Linked DNA regions of Neodiprion lecontei. The protein of the gene in region 3 interacts with the protein of the main gene of each other region in a biochemical or structural test. Links are inferred from orthologs where the notes say so. Each region holds a gene or a part of one and is shown on either strand. Other genes may lie near its edges.

Region 1 (6,069 bases), on a different chromosome or scaffold from region 3:
ACCAAAGCTTGCGCTAAGATATTCGACTCGAAAAATTGGCTCGAGTCTATTCACTACCTTCTGGCTAATCCGAACAAGAGTATCCAGCACAGAGGCGTCGTTGTGGTGCTTAATATGATATCCAGCACCAAGGATGTCGCCGCTAAATTGATTGAGACTGACGTCATGGAGATTTTAATGGCGCTGACTAAAACCGAGGCCGTTGAGGACAAGACGATACGGGAATTAGCCGCTAAGGCTTTGGAAACTGCTGCCAAGTGGGAATTGATTAAGAAAAACATTGAAGACCTTCAAGGCGTTAGTAATATCAATCTGGATGATTCTGCCGCTGTCGAATAGTCTGCACTTTATACAAAGTCTTTGTGTTATAAGCTATTTTACACATGTTTCGTTACTTACCAGATCACGATTCATGATTACTTGCTAATCAGTCTTCAATTTGCCCAGATATTATCATTACGACACAAAAAAAGTTCCTGTATTTTGTTTTTCTATATCCATACATGCATTTGTTTTTATTTTCGTGGGAACTGTGTGACGTTTTCTTACATCAGAAATTATTTTAGTTATTATTGATATCACAACATTTTCATACATCATCATTCATTGTTCTGAAGATTCTAGATGAACGCACTCAAGTACTTAAAAATATTTTTGGCACTAGATAATGTTCAATCATTTTGATTTATACTTAAGAATTCTATAAGTTCATTCTTACTTACACTGTAACATAGTATTAATGCACTTGGATATTGGCAAGTTAAAATTTTGTAATTTAAATTGTTGGAAAAAATTTGTACAGTATTTATTTCGATAATATATTATAATAAAATATATTTATACCTACTACACGACTATTGTGTTTACCTGACGAAATTGAGTTATAGGAATTGTCGAAATATCAAAATTGATAGTACATTGCTAAATAATTTTCAACCATTCAATACATCTCTTTTATATACAAAAAGACAACTTTTGAAAAGTTGTTCTTTAAAATTACTAGCAAACTTGCATTTTAAATAAAATATATTAATTTTTATTTTAACGAACTTATGTATAGTTTTGATTTATATAGTACGCGACAGAAGTCAATACTTATATTAATAATAAATATAAAAATATTCTCTATATACATTATTTGAACAAACAAACACATCGTAATTGTATTGATGTTTTACAAGGCACGTATTATCAGATGAACTTTGCAGATCGTATAAATCACACTTCATCACTGTGATTCTCAGGCAACTAGAGACCAATTTTATACATTGTTGAAACGTATTACATGTTCGTTGTTTAAAATCAGGTAACAGTATTTGCAAGAATGAATTTCTGACGAGACACGTAAGTAATTAAATACAAATGGTTAGTCTGCGAGAAAAGTGTGATTTATCGCTTCTTCCGCAGTTATTCTTGTACAGTGATCTGGATCGAGCAGCCTAATTAATAAATCATATGCTGCCGAAGGATAGGCAGTATCAATTTTTTCCTTAAAATTAGAAAAAAAAAAAGAACTGTTAATAATGATATAAACAGAAAAAGAATGAAGCACATCGGCGTTAAATAAAGAAAGTGAAAATAATGAAAAATAACATTTGAAAATACCTGATTCTTGTTACTACAACTAGTGTTGGGATCCTCCTCTCGATGAAGGCTATTTCTCTTTTGTAATTTTTGACAAAGCAACTTAATATCAATTCCAGGTATGTTTTCGCTAAATGTAAGTTTTCTACCTGCATAAAAAAAAATTATTGTATTATAAATAAAAGTGCTATCCAGCTATTTGGTTCTGTGTTTAGTCGTTTTAGATCAAAGTATGATGTGAATTAATTAAACAGTAAAACGGAAAATAAAGCAAAGTACCCAATTTTTTGGCACATTGTTGCATTTTGGTCGAACCAAAGATTGTTGTTATCTCAGCCAAGGCTGTGCAGTCATCTGGCGAACGAAAAAAAGGGTGAGTTCCACTCAGGATGCAAAGCATTATGACACCGCTGGCCCAAATATCAATTGCTAAAAATAAGGTGTTTCATTTTTATTTTCGGTACTTGACTGACCAATTTTTAGAATCATGTCAAAGGATTGACGAAGGATGAATTGAATGTGTTCACCTGACGTTTGCGAAGGGAACTTGAGTAGCACCTCCGGTGCTCTAAATCCAGGCGTACCAGCACGAGGGGCAGTTTGAGCAGATTTTGATAGGCAGATAGAACATATTCGAGGTTTTCCATAGCATATGCATTGCACATCTATAGGCTTGCCAGTATTTTTTACAGGACCTGTCTCGTCATTCTGCCAATTAAGAAATAACTGATAATAATTGTCAAGATAATACAGAAATAACAAACAGGTTGAAGAGTTGAAAAAAAATTATTGATTTACAACTTCACTATGACTGAAGGTTTCGAGTTTTCAGAATGTGAGATTGGTTTTGCTTGATTACGGTTTACTGGATATTAAACTGTCCTAAAATTGTAACATAACGATTGTTCCTAAAAATGGATCGTTGCGTTAACATATCCAACTTGAATTTCATGATTTCTCAATACGTTTCGTATTAAAAATGAGATAGTCCTGCTGCCTGAATCAAAAGTTGGGAAAAGAAGGAAGAAAAAACCATCTAAAAAATTTCCAGCAATGTTATTCACGTGAATGATAATTAAGATGAATTAAACTATATCGGCACCATGTAGTTGAAAAAAATGTGGGCAAATTCGAATAACACACGACAAGATGTTGACAATGTGAGAAAAGGTTTAATAGTTGAAACGTTGAAAATGACTAGATCTTGGCGATTTTTGTCAGAATTTATGTATTGGCTCATTCATTCTGATTATAAAACCTTCTCTCAAATTGTTGGCGTCTAAGCTCAAGTAGGTTAAATTTGCTCAAATTCAGTTCTATCGCTTGGTAGGGGTGTCGTTTCATACGTGTAGACCATTACTGGGACAAATAACATTGTTAGAGGTTTTAACATGGATTTTTATCTTCTTCTAAATGTTGATTTACATGGTGACCCGTTCATGCTTAATTATACTGGCTTCAATCAAAAAAGTTCATTCCTACCACATCGTTTCTTTTTCTTTTTCCTGGCTGAGATTCAATGACACATGTTTCTGCCTGACTACTTGTGTTACTTTCAGTAGTATACTGCTGCGCTAGCCCAAAATCGACTAGTCGATACCTAAAATTTGATAACACAAGCTTGACATGTTGAGAACAATAGAACCGAGTTTTTGACCAGTTCTTACACACATCTTATGTACAGCAAATAAAAGCCACATAAATACCAGGAATTTTTAATGACTATATCACACACTTAGATGTTGAAATAAATAACTCACTGTTTCATAGCACGATTGTAGAGGAAATTACTAGGTTTTACATCCCGGTGTATAATATTAAACTTATGTACTCGCCGCAGGGCAACCAGCAGCGCTTTCATATAGTTTCTAGTCTCATCAACGGTCATGTCGTGAACATATTCCTAAAAATACTAACTCTCATTAAGTGAAACAACGTTATTAAAAGAGACCTATTTATACGTCATTTTCAAATCATAAGTTTATACTTGTTTGTATATAATTTACGTACAGCGAACCTATCATGCTTCATATACGGCATTACGAACACGATGCATTCTGCACTCCGCAGACACAAGTCCAACTCAACAACATAATCGGTACCTCTGCAAAGAATTTCAGTGTCATAGACATTTTGAAAGAAAAGCAGGCGATCGATATAGCAGGAAATAGAAACAGGTGTACCCTATGTCCTGCAAACATTGTAGCTCACGTTCAATTCTCCTCGGATGACACGTAGGCACAAGATGTTTGATGGCAAATTTACGCTGGTTTGTGGATGTCTTTAAAGTGGCTAAAAACACAGAGCTGAATGTCCCTTTCCCGATTTTACCGTGTATGTGAAACAAGTTTCCCAGAACAGGCAGCTTTCGAATGAGATATGAAATTTTGTCTTTCTCGTTTTCTAGAGTTGGAAAGAGAAATTCATTTGCTTAAGATCCATCACTGAAACTACGTTTACACGTAATACTTGTATGGTTAAAGGCAAACAAATAATTAAGACAATTTTGATGCACCACCTTCATCAACGTTGTTACCAGAATTATTAACCGAAGATACTATATTCATGGTCAAAATTTCGCACAAGAATTCAGTGTCCCGACAACTACACAGACTACTTTTTTAGGGAAAAATTCCATCTGAAAAGTAACGATCAACCAAGATTTAATGCTACAAGGATTCTCTTCGCATATTGGCGCCAATCTTAAGCTACCTGATGGAATAGAACTGCGACTTTCATGGAATAATCGACACATTTGAGTACATGTGTTCAGAAATCCGCGACCTCCGAAAAGTTTAATTAACATCGTAGTATACCCGTGTTCATAGTCTCTCCTTATCTCAAGGATGAAGGACGCCTTGATGAAGGCTCCATGAATCTCAGAGGGGTCCTCGTTTCATAGTCACAACTTGGCTCTCCCTTCCAGAAGGAAGACATACTTAGGGATATGTGATTGCTTATGGTGGTGAATCTGCTGATCGAAGCGCCATTCGGCTATATTTAAATCTAACTTAAACCGCTTGGCTCTCATTGTCAAGTTGCGTCGGTTGATGAACCTCCGTGAAGTTGGAGAAAATATGGGGGCCAACTTCACACCCAAAATTAAAATCAATTTTCCGGAAAAACTACTAACTCTCAAACGATTTTTCTTTACTCTCAAACCCTCTCAAACGATTCTCAAACGAATTGCATTAATTAGATTTAAAAATAACAACTTCGGGGGGCCAACTTCACGGAGGTGGTTGATGAGAATGTATAACCCACTGATATATATATATCAGTGATATGCTCTAAGGGTTCGACTACTTCTAGATTGCAGCGCTTCAACTTTAGCGGGACATTTCTGAAACTGACTTGCCACCACCATGGGAGTTTTCGTACCTGTCGTATCTGTGAATACGGCTGAGCTGGTGAGAAAGAGATGGATGCGGAGTAAGTAAGGAATGCTGAAAAGTTCTGTTACGAATTATCTATGCGTTGGAAGTCAAACCAGAAACAATTTTGTAACTCCAATACGCCGACAGGTCAAATTAGGAATGCTACTACAATTTTAATTACACTGTATATTTTTAAACAATACATAAAAATGTACAACATCGGGAAAAATGTTAGCCGATTATTATTACTCCGCTTGAACGTTTCAACAGGTTCAATGTGACAAAGATGTACTTCATGAGTCCCGTAAATGATTACCTTAAGCGCGCACAGCGTCATAAATTAAATTGAGCACAAGACTTATGCGTGTGCTGTAACTCTTAATTGTATAAAAAAATATCAATATTTATTTTATCTATTCAGAGATGTCATTTTTTTTTTTTACTAGTTTTGAAGGGTATATTTTGCGATTCTGAAGCCGACCTTTTCTTAGGTGAAACTCTTTTCCCAGATTGTAAGTCTGTACTATTTTGTAACATGTTTATCGCCAGAACTTCACAGTTTCGCGACGATTCACCATCCGCGGTAATTTCCATGTCTACATCGTTGATATAATGTACAGGTACTGCACTAAAATCAACTGAACTGAATCCATCTGACATAGCTTTCATTCGGAGTTCACGCGTAACTTTTTTTAGCTGCTGTATATCTTTCTGTTTGCTTTTATTCTTCTGTTTCTTCTTGTTCAGCTTCTTTGTCTGTTTATCTCTCTCCTTAGAATCTTCACTAGACTTGTCATCATCTGTTGATCCAGTTTCGACATTATGCCCATTACTTTCTGCATGTTCGCAACTTTCTATTTTTTCCTCTTTCTTTTGGTTTTGTATACTGAAAATTGAAAATACATGTAATAATAGCTAATAGTGATGAATCGAATGAATAAAATAAAGACCGTGAGCCTAATTTATTAGAGCGCAGAAAATCTTTTAGAATTACTGTTGAAAAGAATTAATTTGTGAATTGTAACATAGAACGTTCTGAAACTTACGTATTGACTTCAACGCCTAATTGATTGGCAAGTCGATTGTAAGCTCTTTTAGCGTCCTTAGC
Region 2 (6,385 bases), on a different chromosome or scaffold from region 3:
ACTAGAATGAATGATCTGGCTTCTCTCCAATTTACTCGTTGTCAGCCCTTCGTCTAAAACAATTTTTTAATTGTTCGTTCGTTTTTTGACCACAATGAGAAAAATGTATCGAATTCGCGTTAATGAGGTTCGACCAACTATTAAGTAGCATTTTTTGTAGTTATTTTATACATTCGGGTGGTCCATATTTAGGGCTCGGACGAATTTTTCATCATTCGCCCTCCAAATCGGCTCGAAATAATTTAAAAGCAATTTCCTAATTTTTTCAGATTTTGATATCAACTCTAATCCCTGTTTGTAAGCGGGTGAATTTCCGTATTCATATACACGTGTTTTGACTATATTCTCAGTATATATTTTATTGCAAGAGTAATATTGGCATTGTCACTACTATCTGATACAAAATTCACATCATACCAGGCAATCTAGACGAATCTGACTTTTTTTGGCATTTAGTGAATGTGCAATTAAAGTTTATATCGGACAAGATTTGGAGTACCAGAATGTACCCAAACAAAATCTTCAGTCAACGCTAATGGTACTAGCAACGTAGCATCATAAACATATATGAATATTTAATACGTAAATAAATAATTTTGTAATAAAAAATTATTTTTGTATTATTTAATAGTCGATTGAACACTCTTAAAAGTTTCATAAGGATATGCTTTGTTTTGGCTAAGAAAAATACTCTGAAATTTCAGTGTTTTTTCGGTCTTTTAAGTGTATGTTAAGCCCTTTTTCGCGTTTGAGATACGTGGACTTTGATATTTTGAGATATATAAGTCAGCGTCGAAATCGACCAGGGAACCCCCCTCAGGCATGTCTTGTTACAAACATGGTTGACTTCGCTATATTTCCGCCGTTGACTCAGCTGTACGGGTCTGGCTACGACGATCAGTTTTAATTACGTGCCCAATGGGAATATTGCGATTTCCTAGAGTGACTATAGTAAATATTTAGTATCACAACAATTCAGGCAATGTTGCGTTTGCGATAAACACTCAGCTGGAAACGTATGTGTTCTGTAGCAATAAAGTGTTGCAGTAACCAAGATAGACAGAAAATATTGCTGACCGAACCAGAATTCTTGTTGAGTGGTGGAAACGCTTTTTTCAGTGTAAATATATTTTGAACTGCGAAATTTAGCAACCAATGGCAATTTTGACTTTGGTTTTTACATATTTTTCATTTTGTGGGTGTAGCAGGAACGTAGCAGGTTTGTCACGAGGCGCTAACTTGCATCAAGCTTCACGTAAGAGGAAATCTTGTTATCGTGGCTAGCAGAAATGGAACGTTGTACAAAATACCTAGTCGAGTTTTCTGGGGCTCCGATGATTAATTAGAAGATCGACAAGCTTCTATTCAAAGTGATAAACCGCTCTGCCGTTAATTAAACGCCCCCTCCTCTTAAGTCTGACGAAAATTTTTTATTGGATGTTCATTCTTCAGCTACTAAAAAAAAATAGTAAAGGTGATCGAGGCACAAAACAGGGTAATAAAATTGAAATTGAAGACCGGGCGGTTGAAGGAGGGAACTGATTGTAAGACACCAGAAAGTTTGAGTGCGAAATTGGATGCGACAAAGTATTAGAGAGTAAAAAAGCAGTGTTGAGGACAATTTTAGAAAATTCGAGACGCTAACTGCGACGCAGGTAGTCCGAACCAAGTTCGAACCACGTTCACAACTAGAAGTAGAACCAACGCCGCGCCCTCCGAACAAATTTTTGGAACTAATTTATTATTACAGAAACATGTCGGTATCGTATTCCCGAACGTCGTATCGTGGCATCAGTAGTGTTATTTATTGTCAGTAAAGAAAGTAAATGTGGACGGGTTACCGACATTCGTTCCCTGTCGAAAAATTAGTTCCAAAACTTCACTTTGTTCCAGAGGGCGACAGATCTCGGAGAATACACGAAACGTGAATATCGGGCTTTTTCCCCACAATTTGGCGCCAAAAGTAGTCAAGCACGACAAAGCACGGTGGACGGATTCTCAGCGGCCGACTTCATACAACAGCAAGCTGTAGCATTACGGCGATTATTATTATTTGTCCTCATTTATTCATCTGGAAACTTGAACGCATCGCATAGCATTCGATCGAAGAAGTCAGCATGACCGGTGAGTGTACTGCGCAAATTTTAGCGAATATTCTATCCTAACCCATTTATGTAAAACGGCGTCAATATCTCATGAGAATTGTACCGGTTTAACCCTCAGCTCACCGTCTGATCACTGTCTCATATTTTTCCCACCAGCAAATAACATCGTCGACTGGACCCCGGATTTTTTTTTGGCAAACGAAGCCAAATGTCGCCTTGTACTAAGTGAAACTGCTAATCGACTGTCGGTGCCATCCCTTAACTCCCTACCCTTACACTCGTTTAAGGATAAGCAATTGGCCAGGTTCCGAGGAATGATTCAGGACACTTACAACCCTGAGTACTACCTTGATCGATTTCAAATTCGCAATGTTGCCACTAATGAGACGACAACCTGCCGCGGGCGGTACAGAGATACATTGGACTCCTTGGTACGTATCAACGTCAGTTCTCCAAATCTCATGTGGCCTTGTGCGCTTTATAATCGGCGGAGATCTCATGTAACGTCATAGGTACCTGATATTTTCGTTGTGAATTAAAGCTTACCGTACTGTCAACGTCTTTGTTGGCCGAAATGGTAGTCAAAAGATGGCCTACAGTAAATGATGATTAGCAGTTACAGGTGCGAGCGGCTACAAGTGTTGTTCGCTTCGTGTATAATACTGCCTACAATGCAATACATTTTTTCTTAGTATTTTCAAAGCTGCCGTACACCATAGTAATGACAGTCACTTTGACGTGAACTGCACTGATTTGCATTCTCGTTGTATTCGTTCATTTGTTTGTTTCCTTACCAGCCAGGTGAAACTGTGATCGTTGACTCCAAAGAGAATGTCAATGCTGAACGGCAGACATGTTTTGTTATATCAGTTCCTGGCGTCAACAGTTGGGCAAAGGAAAAGTGTACAGTGCGCGAAAATGCACCTCAAGTCTCAACTAACACTGCCACCAAGCGTTCACTAGAATCTGAAGAAATGGAATGTGTAGAATTCAGTAGCAAAAAACACACACAAACAACCCCGAGCTCAGGTAATGGCGAACCACGCTTGCTGTCCAGAGAACATGCAATGAATTTCCCCCTTCCCAATGACGATGGTAAAGCCTGCATCGTGAAGGTGTGTCTGTATTGCAACGTCTACAATTAATTGTTCACTTTTGTTTATCTTTCGTGACAATTCAAGTTTGTAGAATTCACTCGAAAATCACTTTGAAATTCACGTTCTGTTTACTGTATGAAAGGTATTGGAGAGGCTGATTCGCTCTAGCTGAAAAGTTTATTTAGTTAGAATTTGAAATACCTATGCCGCTCTTTTAACTTTACAGATATATGATGAAACGTCGTTCAAATTGAACCAGATCATCGACATTGTAGGCTTCATATCCTTAGACCCAGCTTTGAGCGTTGCTCATGATCCAGACAAGTTGATGGATGACATCGAATTTCAGTCTCACAATCCACCCGTGTCGCTGATACCTCGATTGCACGCGATCGATGTCAAGGACGTGTCTATGGAGGAGGTTCCACAAACTATCCAAGGTGATTTAACCTTTCCCGTTACCACACGGAGTGACCTGAAGCTAGTGTTGAGTCAGATTCTATTTGGAGATGTCTTAGCGGCCGAATATGTCATATGCCACCTAATATCTTCCATGTAAGTTTTTGGCAATTTTTAGTTTCATATTAAAAATTACAGTTGTATCCTAAATTATCTTAGTTGTATATTTAAGATGTAAAATAGGTATTCTACTTTAGCCAGACGAACAGAAACCAAGCTGATGTCTTAGAACACCACTATTTATTTTCACAGCTATTTGAGACGGGACTTTCTATCCCTTGGTGCGTTTCCATTGAACATAACGAATTTGCCTCTCGATAAGTGCAAGACTTTTCCAGAAGATTTTTATGGAATATTATCATTGTTGCTGCCGAAAAGTCACCTCATTGGCATGACTTTGGATGAACTTAACAACCTGAATCTGCAGCCCAAGTACGTGTACTTTCCCAATGAGAAATTATTTATTCATTTATTGATACTCAAATTACATCAAGAATTTTATATTGGACAATTTGGGATTAACCGGGCTCATTCTTCATGTTGTTTCAGAAAAGACTACGACTGCAACAGATTGACTAGCGGGGTGTTGCAGCTCAGCGATAATACGCATCTTGTATTAGATGAAACAAAGCTGACCGACGGTCAGGTTTCGGCAAACGGGAGGAAAAATTATGAAGCTTTCTCCACGTTGATTAATTCCCAGACGGTTACCTATGACTTCAAGTATTACACAATGGATTTTCCGGCTGACATACCCGTTCTGATACTGTCGGAATCAAAGTCTATGATTCCTGTAAGTTTCTTGACATTTCACACATCTCCACAGTCTCCAGAATATTCTTTTTTCGTTCAAGTGCCGATTGAGCAGCTGACTCAATGAATGATATTTAATTTGATTCTCAGAGGAAAGTCATATTTCTCGTAATGGTAAAAACAAAAATCTGCTTCGTACTTTCGTGTACGGTTGTTTTGCATGAACTTAACAGTTTCAGCTAGATACGAAGAATATTTAGTGCAATTTTCAGTTAACATCTTATTTTCTTTTTCCATCTTCACGAATTTCAGTGTTATAGGCAAATCGTGTTGGAAAAGAATTCAAACAGTGAGAATATCTATTCGGAAACCCTGGAAGCAGTCAGGCATTATTTGAGGGATGAAACCAGGATATATAACATTCGAAACTGGTTGAGGGTATCGAGGCGACGCGACATCGCAATCGAAACCGAGAATAGCATAGGAGACGTGAGTTTTGCACGGGATGTAGAGGATAAAAGAAATATTCCGATGAGTAAAACACATTTTTTCCCCTAATTTCGCAGGTAATCCAAAAGGATTTCGTTGAAATGCGTCAGTTGGACAAAAGTACATCAGCGGAGGATCTGCATTCGCTAATGGTTCTCGCTAGATTGATATCGATGTCGCACGGTATGGACAAATTGACCGTTGATTACTGGCACGAAGCCGTTAGAATGGAGAAGGAACGTAAACGCAGACTGCAGAGATAGCGCGTGCAGATGTGAAATGAGTCATCAGTTTTCCGAATATACTCGCGTATGAATTACACACAGCTTCCTAAATATGTATATGCCTTTTTTACAACTTCACCGAACCATCTCGGATTTGTTTTTTTTATTTTTATTTATTTCTCTTACCCAAACTAAATTCTGCCCTGTGTATACACAAACGGCGTTATAACGACTTCGAACCTCGAGGATCTTGGCTAGCGATCAAAAGCCATCAAGTTAATGATGGCTGGCAGGTAGATAAGCACTCTGTCTTGTCGACGTTAACAGCGAACAAACAGGATATCACACCTATCAATAAGTTATTCGTGGAGAGAAAATCCCCTGAAATGAATCAACAATATTATATGATTCAGTGGTGCAGAAGTGATATCTTCGATCCAAACGGTTCCCGTTGATACATACGGAGCTTGAACAAGCTAAAACTTGCGTAAGGCTACGACTGTGAGTAAAAAAAAGAAAAGAAATATTGTGAAATGTTTGACAGTCGAATTTGAAGATTGATTCTTATTTTTCATAATTCAAAATAACTGCAGGAATAGTTCAACTTTTACGTCATACTTATGTACGTATATCAGGCAATAAAGTTTGGATTCTTTATGTATCCATGTTTTAAAATTTCTTTTTCGATTCATTCTATCGAGGGGGAATTCGTAATGTAATTGAAATAAAGCGTGCTCGATTTTTCAGGCAAGTCCAGAACACATTGTACCCGGAAGCCGACAGAGAGTGATAGCGCGAACGTTCCGACAATGGAATTTAATGGAAATTTCAAATCCACGAGTAAACCGGACCAGGATGACCCGCGGGTCTCTCGGGGTAGGCTAATCTCTACGCTTAATATCCGCCTCGACGTCTTAACAACAACGAGCTCGTTGCCCTGATCAATTCCGCCTTTATGTCTTCGTCCTCCCCCGTATTCTCTATTAATCAACAAGTAATTGGTACTCTAGTCACGGAGGGACCCGTTCGATCTGATTGCTTCGAAATTAAAGGGATCGCCACCCCCGAGGCATATCGACAGACTCGCAATTAATGAACGCTCGGCTTTTCCTTCATTCCTTCAGTATTCGACAGTCGGCGCCTACGTCCGTCGCGCGCACAACGTCACACGATGCTCCCTCTCCTGGGACTCGGAGTGATCCTCTTCCGAACGAAATCTGCCTCTTGAAACGTGGCAAAGTATGCCTGACATGTGCGT
Region 3 (7,313 bases):
TTTTAGTTATGCAAGTGGTGGCTGTCGATATCTTACGTAAATGCGTTTAAATACCCTACCACATTACACGATGAACTGAATACAAAGTTTTTTTTAAATATATGAACCGGCTTATGAAACTTTACTCCTTGCATACTTAAACACTCTGCGGAACTGAATTTAGATCATTCCGGTAAAGACGAAAAAATTAAGCGGTTGGTACTCAATAAATTTAAAATACACCGCAATATTTCTCGTAAACGAATATAAGCAGTTTCGTAGCCCTGAAATTTTGAATTAAACCTTTGTTCAGCCGGTTCAGCGCTCTTAACTCGCCCAGCAATTGGATCACCGTACACCGATTGTTTAGACTCATTGTCAGTATTAATACAGCTTCGCTAATTGGACGATAAAAACAATGCTCGTATGAAAACTGTAGGCAGGTCAAGGCTCTGATTTGTACGAGCATAATGTTTTAGTAGATTCGTTCGACTAGGATTAAATGTAATGAAGTACACACGATACATTTTGTAAAAAATCCGTTTTTGTAAATTTTTATAAATTGTATAAAAGATCAATAGTTGAACAATAGTGAATTGGGATGAATGTAAAACTACTGTAGTAGATGGAGATTATGATAGTTTGGAAATTTTTGAGTCGCACATTTTGTACATTTGTATTGCCGCTCAGAAGGCACGAAATCAAATACTTATTTGAACGACCATCACTTCTTGGTCTAGGAATACATAGCAATTTTAAGGTACGTTATGAAAGTTTGAATGCAGTCGCTTTTCTTGGCTATTACTGTGAATAAATATCAAGGGTCGAGAATATAATTTGGATGTACGACAAGCAAGGGATCTTCTTCCTCTTCTTCTTCACGGTGCTTGCCTCTAGATGCCAGATTCGCTGTCGTCAGAGGAATTATGATTTGGTCCTATAATATAAAGTTTTATTGTATCACATTAGTCATTGTTGTTTTTATTCTTTTTTTCCGTAGGCAGATACGCAATATGTGTAAAGAAGAAACATACATGATACATAAGCCGGTCGATAATTTTTTCAATGAGGCCTTTTCGCTCCAATAATTCATCTTCAGATTCAATTTGCTCTTGAACTTTATCGAGATACCAAGCAACCAATTCCGATTTCCTGATTCCCTCCTTGTCTCCATCTATATGGAAAAAAAGTTCAGTAGTATCATCCCTAGAAAGGTTTGAAATATCTTCGACATTTTTGACACTGCATACGAAAATAATTTTACAATTTTTTATCAACATTATTGTTGTTGCAATTGAGTAGCAAATGCTTCCTCAAAATAATGTACCAACCTTCACTTTCAATTCGATTCTCTTCTGTCCGCATATAGACGACCAACATATTTGAGAGATTTTTATACTCCTCAAAGGAAAGGGTCAGTTTCTTTTTAACAGGTTCTTGCGAAGGTTGTGAGATTCCCTTCGTGGTTTCTGGAATACAAAAATATTCAATCCAAATTTTGATAGCCTAATTGTTCTAACCATGCCTGCGATAACCAAATAATTGTGTAAAACAAAAATAGATGTCCGTAACTGGTTACAAGAATGGCGATAAAGAGTAATATAGGTATAAAGTGAAAAAAAAAAAAAATATATAAAACCCGTGAGATAGGTAAAATGCGCCTCTTCCGGAGAGATGAAATGAACTTAGGCTATCAGTTTTGGAGTACTTATGATAAGGTTGGGCCATATTAATGTCTTCCGATATCTTGGCATAAACTGTACATAACCCGAAAACTATCATTTTTACAGGGATGAGATGAAGTAGCTGAGTATATTTCAATATTAATATTTTAATACATTGATATCGAAATATACACAACTACTCGATTTGATCTAGTATATGATAAAATATTGATCGAGAAATATATTCAGCTAGACGATTTTAATCCATTTTAACTTATTTTTTTCGTGTGTTTTATTAACAAATGATTACCCTTTTTTGTCAAAAATCTGACGTCTTTTATTCATATACTCGCAAATCACGCAAAAATCATTATTTTTAAAATCCCATACCTATTTCTCTGGCTATAAAGGTGTAGATTTTTTATCATTTTCTTCCAGATTCAAATTTACACCACTCGCGAGAATGGCTTCAGTGTTGACATTTTTGAATATTTGTTGATAATAATTTTTTGTATTATATTTATGCCTAATAACTTCCTAAAATATTATGATCTTATTACCCTTTCTTCTATCCAAAAAAATGGCGAATTTTTTAGAGTTTTGCGGTGGTGTTACCCCTTAAGTACTCCAGAAATGTTAGCATAAGTTCATTTTAACATTCCAGAAAGGAAGCATTCCACCCATTTTGACAGGGGGTACCCAAATTTACCGGAATCATCGATGTTAGTAGCTTCACCATTATCCAAATCATTGAGTGCAGCCATTAGAGGAGGCGCGTCATCGATATCCATTCTCATACCATCTTGGCCATTTGGATAATTATTATCTTCATCAAGATCGACATCTGGTTGTTCGACTCTGATGATACTCTTGCTTAATAATCTTTTCGCTTCCTTCACGTGTCTCGTTGTGACTTCATCTCCACATTCCAGCTTTGCCAGTGCCTCTGATAACCGTACGAGACTTTCCAACTGACGCACAGTGACTCGCCAAGTAGATTTTCCTGAACTGCCCCCTTCTCTTTGTCGTAAGGTAGTATAGACCTCTATCAATAACTCTGCTGCTTCCTGTTAATTATTGAATAGCAAATTGTTAAATGTCCCAAAAATTTTTTTTTTACGATCATACGCATATATTGTGGCTAGAAAATAGCAACGAGTAACGAAAATGATATAACTCATATTTCGTAGTATCAACACATTACCTGATTGATAATCGGTTTGAAATGCTTTGCAAAATTAATATATCGCAAAATTTCCTCTTGAGTATAGATACATTCGATGGTAATCACATTGTTACTGTGCAGATCAATAATTTTTCTGGCTATAGCGTTATCAACAATTTCATTGCACTCGTCAATCAGAATAAAAAATAAATCGAAACGAGACATTATAGGGGCTGTCAGATATACGTTCTGTTGTAAGGATTTCGACCTGTCGTAACGTCCACCAATTGGATTCGCTGCAGCCAAGATAGACGTTCGTGCATTCAACGTCGCTCTGACACCGGCCTATAGAAGTAAATTAAATCATAGTAAAAGACGTAAAAATAAATTAAGAATCGCAGATAAAAAGAAAACCATATTCTACCTTGGCTATCGATATTGTCTGTTGCTCCATGGCTTCGTGAATTGCGACTTGATCTCTAGGATCCATTTTGTCAAACTCATCGATGCAACAAATTCCATTATCCGCGAGCATCAAGGCTCCAGCTTCGATAACAAAGTCAGAGGACTCTTCATCCCTGACTACAGCAGCCGTCAAACCAGCGGCACTGGAAGCTTTTCCTGAGGTATAAATTGCTCTTGGTGAAAAATCCGCGACTTGTTTTAGAAATTGAGATTTTGCTGTGCTGGGATCGCCGACAATACAGCAGTTAATGTCTCCTCTCAGTGATGTTCCCTCTATCGTTGTCTTGGGAACTCCACCAAACAGCATTAAGGTAATTCCTTTTTTCACTTCATCGTTTCCATGGACGGATGGGAACAAACTAGATATTAGATTTTGGTAGAGATTCTTGTCTCGACTCATTTCATAAACTTTATTCCACTCTGCGTCAGACATTTGTCTCTTCATCATCTCCTGCGTGATTTCCTCCATTCCCATATCCGTTCCACCAAACTAGCAGCCGAATCAGTTTTAGATAGAAAAAATTCTTATACTTTTATTATCTGCATTCACAAAATTCAACACTTACTCGCGAAGTAGTAGACGTTATACTACAAGCCAGAAATGACATTCTATAAGTCAAATCTCTAACGCCTAGTGATTTCAGACCTCGCACTCCCTCGATTGAAGGATCTCCATGCTTATGTCTTGATCCAAATTCAGCCTTTGCTCCAGGTAGTGACAAAGCACCCACATCTGGCACAACTATAAGCGTGCCAGTGAAATCGTATCTGAATGCAAAAGTGAAAGTTATTCAATGTTGACTGGATCAAATCTTATTTCCATAACAAACTGAAATTCATCTACTAATACATCTCAAGTAATTATTATTATTGTTAATATGAACAGTTGAAATCCCAAACCAGTCCTTAGAATAGGTTGGTTTAACTTTAACACAAGAAAAATTTGTCAGAGTAAATTGCTATTAAGGAAACAGACCTGTCCCCAGGCTGCACCATTTCAACAGTTTCTGCTCGTAAGATGATTTCAAGGGATCGTGGGATGCAGCCCCTAGGCAGCTCTGCCTGGGTTTCCTGAATTCTAACTTTTTGAAAATCAATGAAGATCGAGTTGTCGACGTCGAGCAAAAAATTACGCCTATTGTTGCACACTGGATTGCGACAAATAGTAGGATTTGTAAACTGCGAAAAGTAACACATTAAGTAACGGTGCTTTTCAATTTACAACACAAGGCTAGTGTTCATTCCTCACTAACTTTAAACTGCTGCTCTACGTTCTTGATTACAGTATTACAATCCTGACAAACAAATGTCCCAAGAATCAACTCTGGATGAACAGGATGTGTCCTTACAACCTGACCAGATATACGTATTAAGGTGCCGATTTTCACTGCTGTCAATTCTCTTACTTTGTGCCTCGTCGGCACATCTATTAAACTAACATAGCATTCCTTATCTTTTGTCAAGTTACCTCTGTCTTTAACATAGTTGCAAACTGCCTGACAGAGGTATGGGTAAATTCTGTAAATACACACAACAACCGAGTTTAAAAAACTTTCAAGCTCTTAGGTATTGATACGTATGTAAAAATGCTTTACTCAGAATAGTTACCTGTAGTATTCTTCAATAATTGTTGTTGCGAGAGTTTGATTGTACCGTTCAATATCATCAAATGAAACTTCCAATGTGCTTCGTTCAGGACTGACAAGTTCTTTTGCTGGTTCCAAGTACTTGATTTCCCCATCTGCTTTGAATCTGTGGATCAAGTTAAAGGATAAAAATAAGCTGATTGAGACAGTTTGAGATATTGTCGTAACTAACGGTTCTTAAAATAATTCACTTCTCAAGTGTTCACCGGCTAATGTTTGTTTTGGTCAATTTATTTTAGGTTACTTACTCCTCGAGGAAATCCTGAAATAACTTTTGGCATTGTATTGCGACCTCATCCTTCACTCTCAACTGACCTACGAGCGCGTCAGCTACGTCCATGTTAAAAAATAATACTCAAATTTGTAAATTATCAATTATAAATGTATGAAAGCAAGTATTGTTATTAATTAACGGGCAAGTAAAATTGGCGGGAAATTGATACGCCACCATGGTGTATAGTGATGCTACATTTCACTAAAGTTCCTCATTTCACTTCTGCAACAGCCGTGTCATCTGGTGGGGAAATTGAAAATGTAGAGAATACAGTTCAAGCCCAAGATAACAATGAACTATGAACAATCTATCAGTATGCTGTTTGCACTCTGTGGTGGTGGATTGCCGGAGATGAGGGAAATCCAAATTTCGCAATAAAAACGTACTGCCTGATGAGAAAATTAATCCGAATTATCGATTCTATTGTTATGAATATGTGTCTGCGGATCGATCATTTTTATTTTATTATGTTTGAATTGTAACGCAATTTCAATATAAATCTATTGTGTGGTAGTGGGAAATATTTACTTTCGTGGAATGTGCGCTTAAAGTAGGGATTTTTTGAAGAGCGTAAAGTACCGCACGGACCGAAGGCGAGTGCGAAACTCACATGAGTCAAGAAGTCCCTATATGTGCACATATCGCAAATCCTATTTGTGGGGGACTTCCTCTGAAGAACTACAAAGTAGTCGATTTGTTGTCTTTCTAAAAAAAGGACTAGAATGGCTAACTGGCTAGGTCATCTAAATTTTGAAAAAATTTTTTAAAATTTTACGTGTAACTAAGAATGGATGTTAAATAAGAACAAAATAGATTAGACCGTCGATTTTTCATTCGTCTTGGTAGTAAAACTGAAAATTTTTGTGGACATAAAAATATTTTTAACTTCAGAAAATCAATTTTCCGTTCTAGCAACCACAAGCAATTAAAACCGATCAAATCATATTGGAGAAAACATTACGAATATATTCTATAACTGATTGTTTGTATTATTTATTGTCATTTTCTGGATCTGCAGTGATGAACTATTCCGGACATATTCCGGTTTACGAAGAACGCCGAGCGCTCGAGTTTTCCCGAAGTGGCACTTGATAATAGCGAACGATCGAACGTCAACAAGTTCGGACGTGCGTAATTCAACCCTGACGCGTTCAGTATTTTCAAATGCTTTAACTGTTAGTAAATTTAACGGTAGTGAAATTACCATTATGTAATCAATGCGATAATATTTGTATGTAAGTGATTGATCTCTTTAAAGTTTCCGAATATATACCTATAATCCACAAGTACCGAGTTTAACGAACGTTCATAGTGAGGTGTGCTCGAATAATATGGCAAGAAAATCTGCGTAAGATCTCTGACTGCAATGAGTGGAAATCTCACGAACAATCTGGAGTAGACGGGAATGCCAAGAGAGAACAAGTCTGGTTGGTACTACCTAATACGTAGAATATACCGTACACATAAGGAAATTGATTCTGCAAAAGCTACTTTTCGTCCGCAATCGATTACGATCGCAATGAATCAGAATTTCAGCCCATAGCGCGACGCCAATCAATTTCCGTATGTGTTCATCGTAAAACTGAATGAATCGAAACATGGGATGTATTAAAATAACAAATAGTGCATTAAAATCTTTTTGTTATTTATAATTGGAATAAGCACCAAAAATGGGTATATTAGAATGATTATTAAATGATTTTGGAATTTCATTTTAAAAATCTCTTGAACCCCCATTTCAGTGATATGTAAAACCAGAATTAACATTATACTATACACAAATAATGATTTGTGTATAGTAAAATGCACGAATGCCTTAACCTTTCAGCTAATTTGTTTTTGGCCCAAAACAAAAGCTGTCTGCGATTCTATACGAATTATGTGGCAATGCATCCCATTTTCTCACATCAGCTGCATCGCCAGTCTTTGTCACATAATTTGTATAAAATTGAACTCGCATTTTGTTTCGGACCGAAGACTGGTTAGCGAGAGGCTTAAGCGTTAATGATCGTTATTGTACGATACACATTTCACGTAACATAGAAAACTGCGTGGACTTAATACCTCGCACTTCTGAAAATAAGAAGGTGCCTTGTAGTATTACTTCGTGCTCGTAGTTG

Evidence for each region.
Region 1: of the proteins of DNA replication licensing factor Mcm6 (region 3) and cell division cycle 7-related protein kinase, one has a biochemical effect on the other in vitro, tested with the Homo sapiens proteins (2 studies listed by BioGRID). The link is inferred for Neodiprion lecontei from reciprocal best matches to the Homo sapiens genes MCM6 and CDC7.
Region 2: the proteins of DNA replication licensing factor Mcm6 (region 3) and mini-chromosome maintenance complex-binding protein form a complex in vitro, tested with the Homo sapiens proteins (2 studies listed by BioGRID). The link is inferred for Neodiprion lecontei from reciprocal best matches to the Homo sapiens genes MCM6 and MCMBP.

The regions. Positions count from the first base shown.
Region 1 is NC_060261.1:17,271,132-17,277,200, reverse strand, and holds cell division cycle 7-related protein kinase, read right to left. Parts: upstream 4,369-6,069; 5' UTR 4,152-4,368; coding exon 4,103-4,151; intron 3,988-4,102; coding exon 3,768-3,987; intron 3,689-3,767; coding exon 3,595-3,688; intron 3,488-3,594; coding exon 3,345-3,487; intron 3,185-3,344; coding exon 3,067-3,184; intron 2,293-3,066; coding exon 2,112-2,292; intron 2,014-2,111; coding exon 1,864-2,013; intron 1,734-1,863; coding exon 1,606-1,733; intron 1,490-1,605; coding exon 1,367-1,489; 3' UTR 529-1,366; downstream 1-528. Other genes in the region: protein unc-45 homolog B, read left to right, coding at 1-339; myb-binding protein 1A-like protein, read right to left, coding at 5,388-5,847, 6,008-6,069. UniProt on the Homo sapiens protein: Kinase involved in initiation of DNA replication. Phosphorylates critical substrates that regulate the G1/S phase transition and initiation of DNA replication, such as MCM proteins and CLASPIN.
Region 2 is NC_060263.1:15,366,714-15,373,098, forward strand, and holds mini-chromosome maintenance complex-binding protein, read left to right. Parts: upstream 1-1,893; 5' UTR 1,894-2,117; coding exon 2,118-2,124; intron 2,125-2,261; coding exon 2,262-2,536; intron 2,537-2,902; coding exon 2,903-3,220; intron 3,221-3,428; coding exon 3,429-3,757; intron 3,758-3,913; coding exon 3,914-4,093; intron 4,094-4,210; coding exon 4,211-4,454; intron 4,455-4,726; coding exon 4,727-4,903; intron 4,904-4,980; coding exon 4,981-5,166; 3' UTR 5,167-5,788; downstream 5,789-6,385. UniProt on the Homo sapiens protein: Associated component of the MCM complex that acts as a regulator of DNA replication.
Region 3 is NC_060260.1:9,286,119-9,293,431, reverse strand, and holds DNA replication licensing factor Mcm6, read right to left. Parts: upstream 5,385-7,313; 5' UTR 5,260-5,384; coding exon 5,168-5,259; intron 5,026-5,167; coding exon 4,882-5,025; intron 4,792-4,881; coding exon 4,527-4,791; intron 4,453-4,526; coding exon 4,250-4,452; intron 4,042-4,249; coding exon 3,840-4,041; intron 3,764-3,839; coding exon 3,233-3,763; intron 3,154-3,232; coding exon 2,848-3,153; intron 2,711-2,847; coding exon 2,353-2,710; intron 1,449-2,352; coding exon 1,311-1,448; intron 1,154-1,310; coding exon 1,014-1,153; intron 917-1,013; coding exon 797-916; 3' UTR 506-796; downstream 1-505. UniProt on the Homo sapiens protein: Acts as a component of the MCM2-7 complex (MCM complex) which is the replicative helicase essential for 'once per cell cycle' DNA replication initiation and elongation in eukaryotic cells.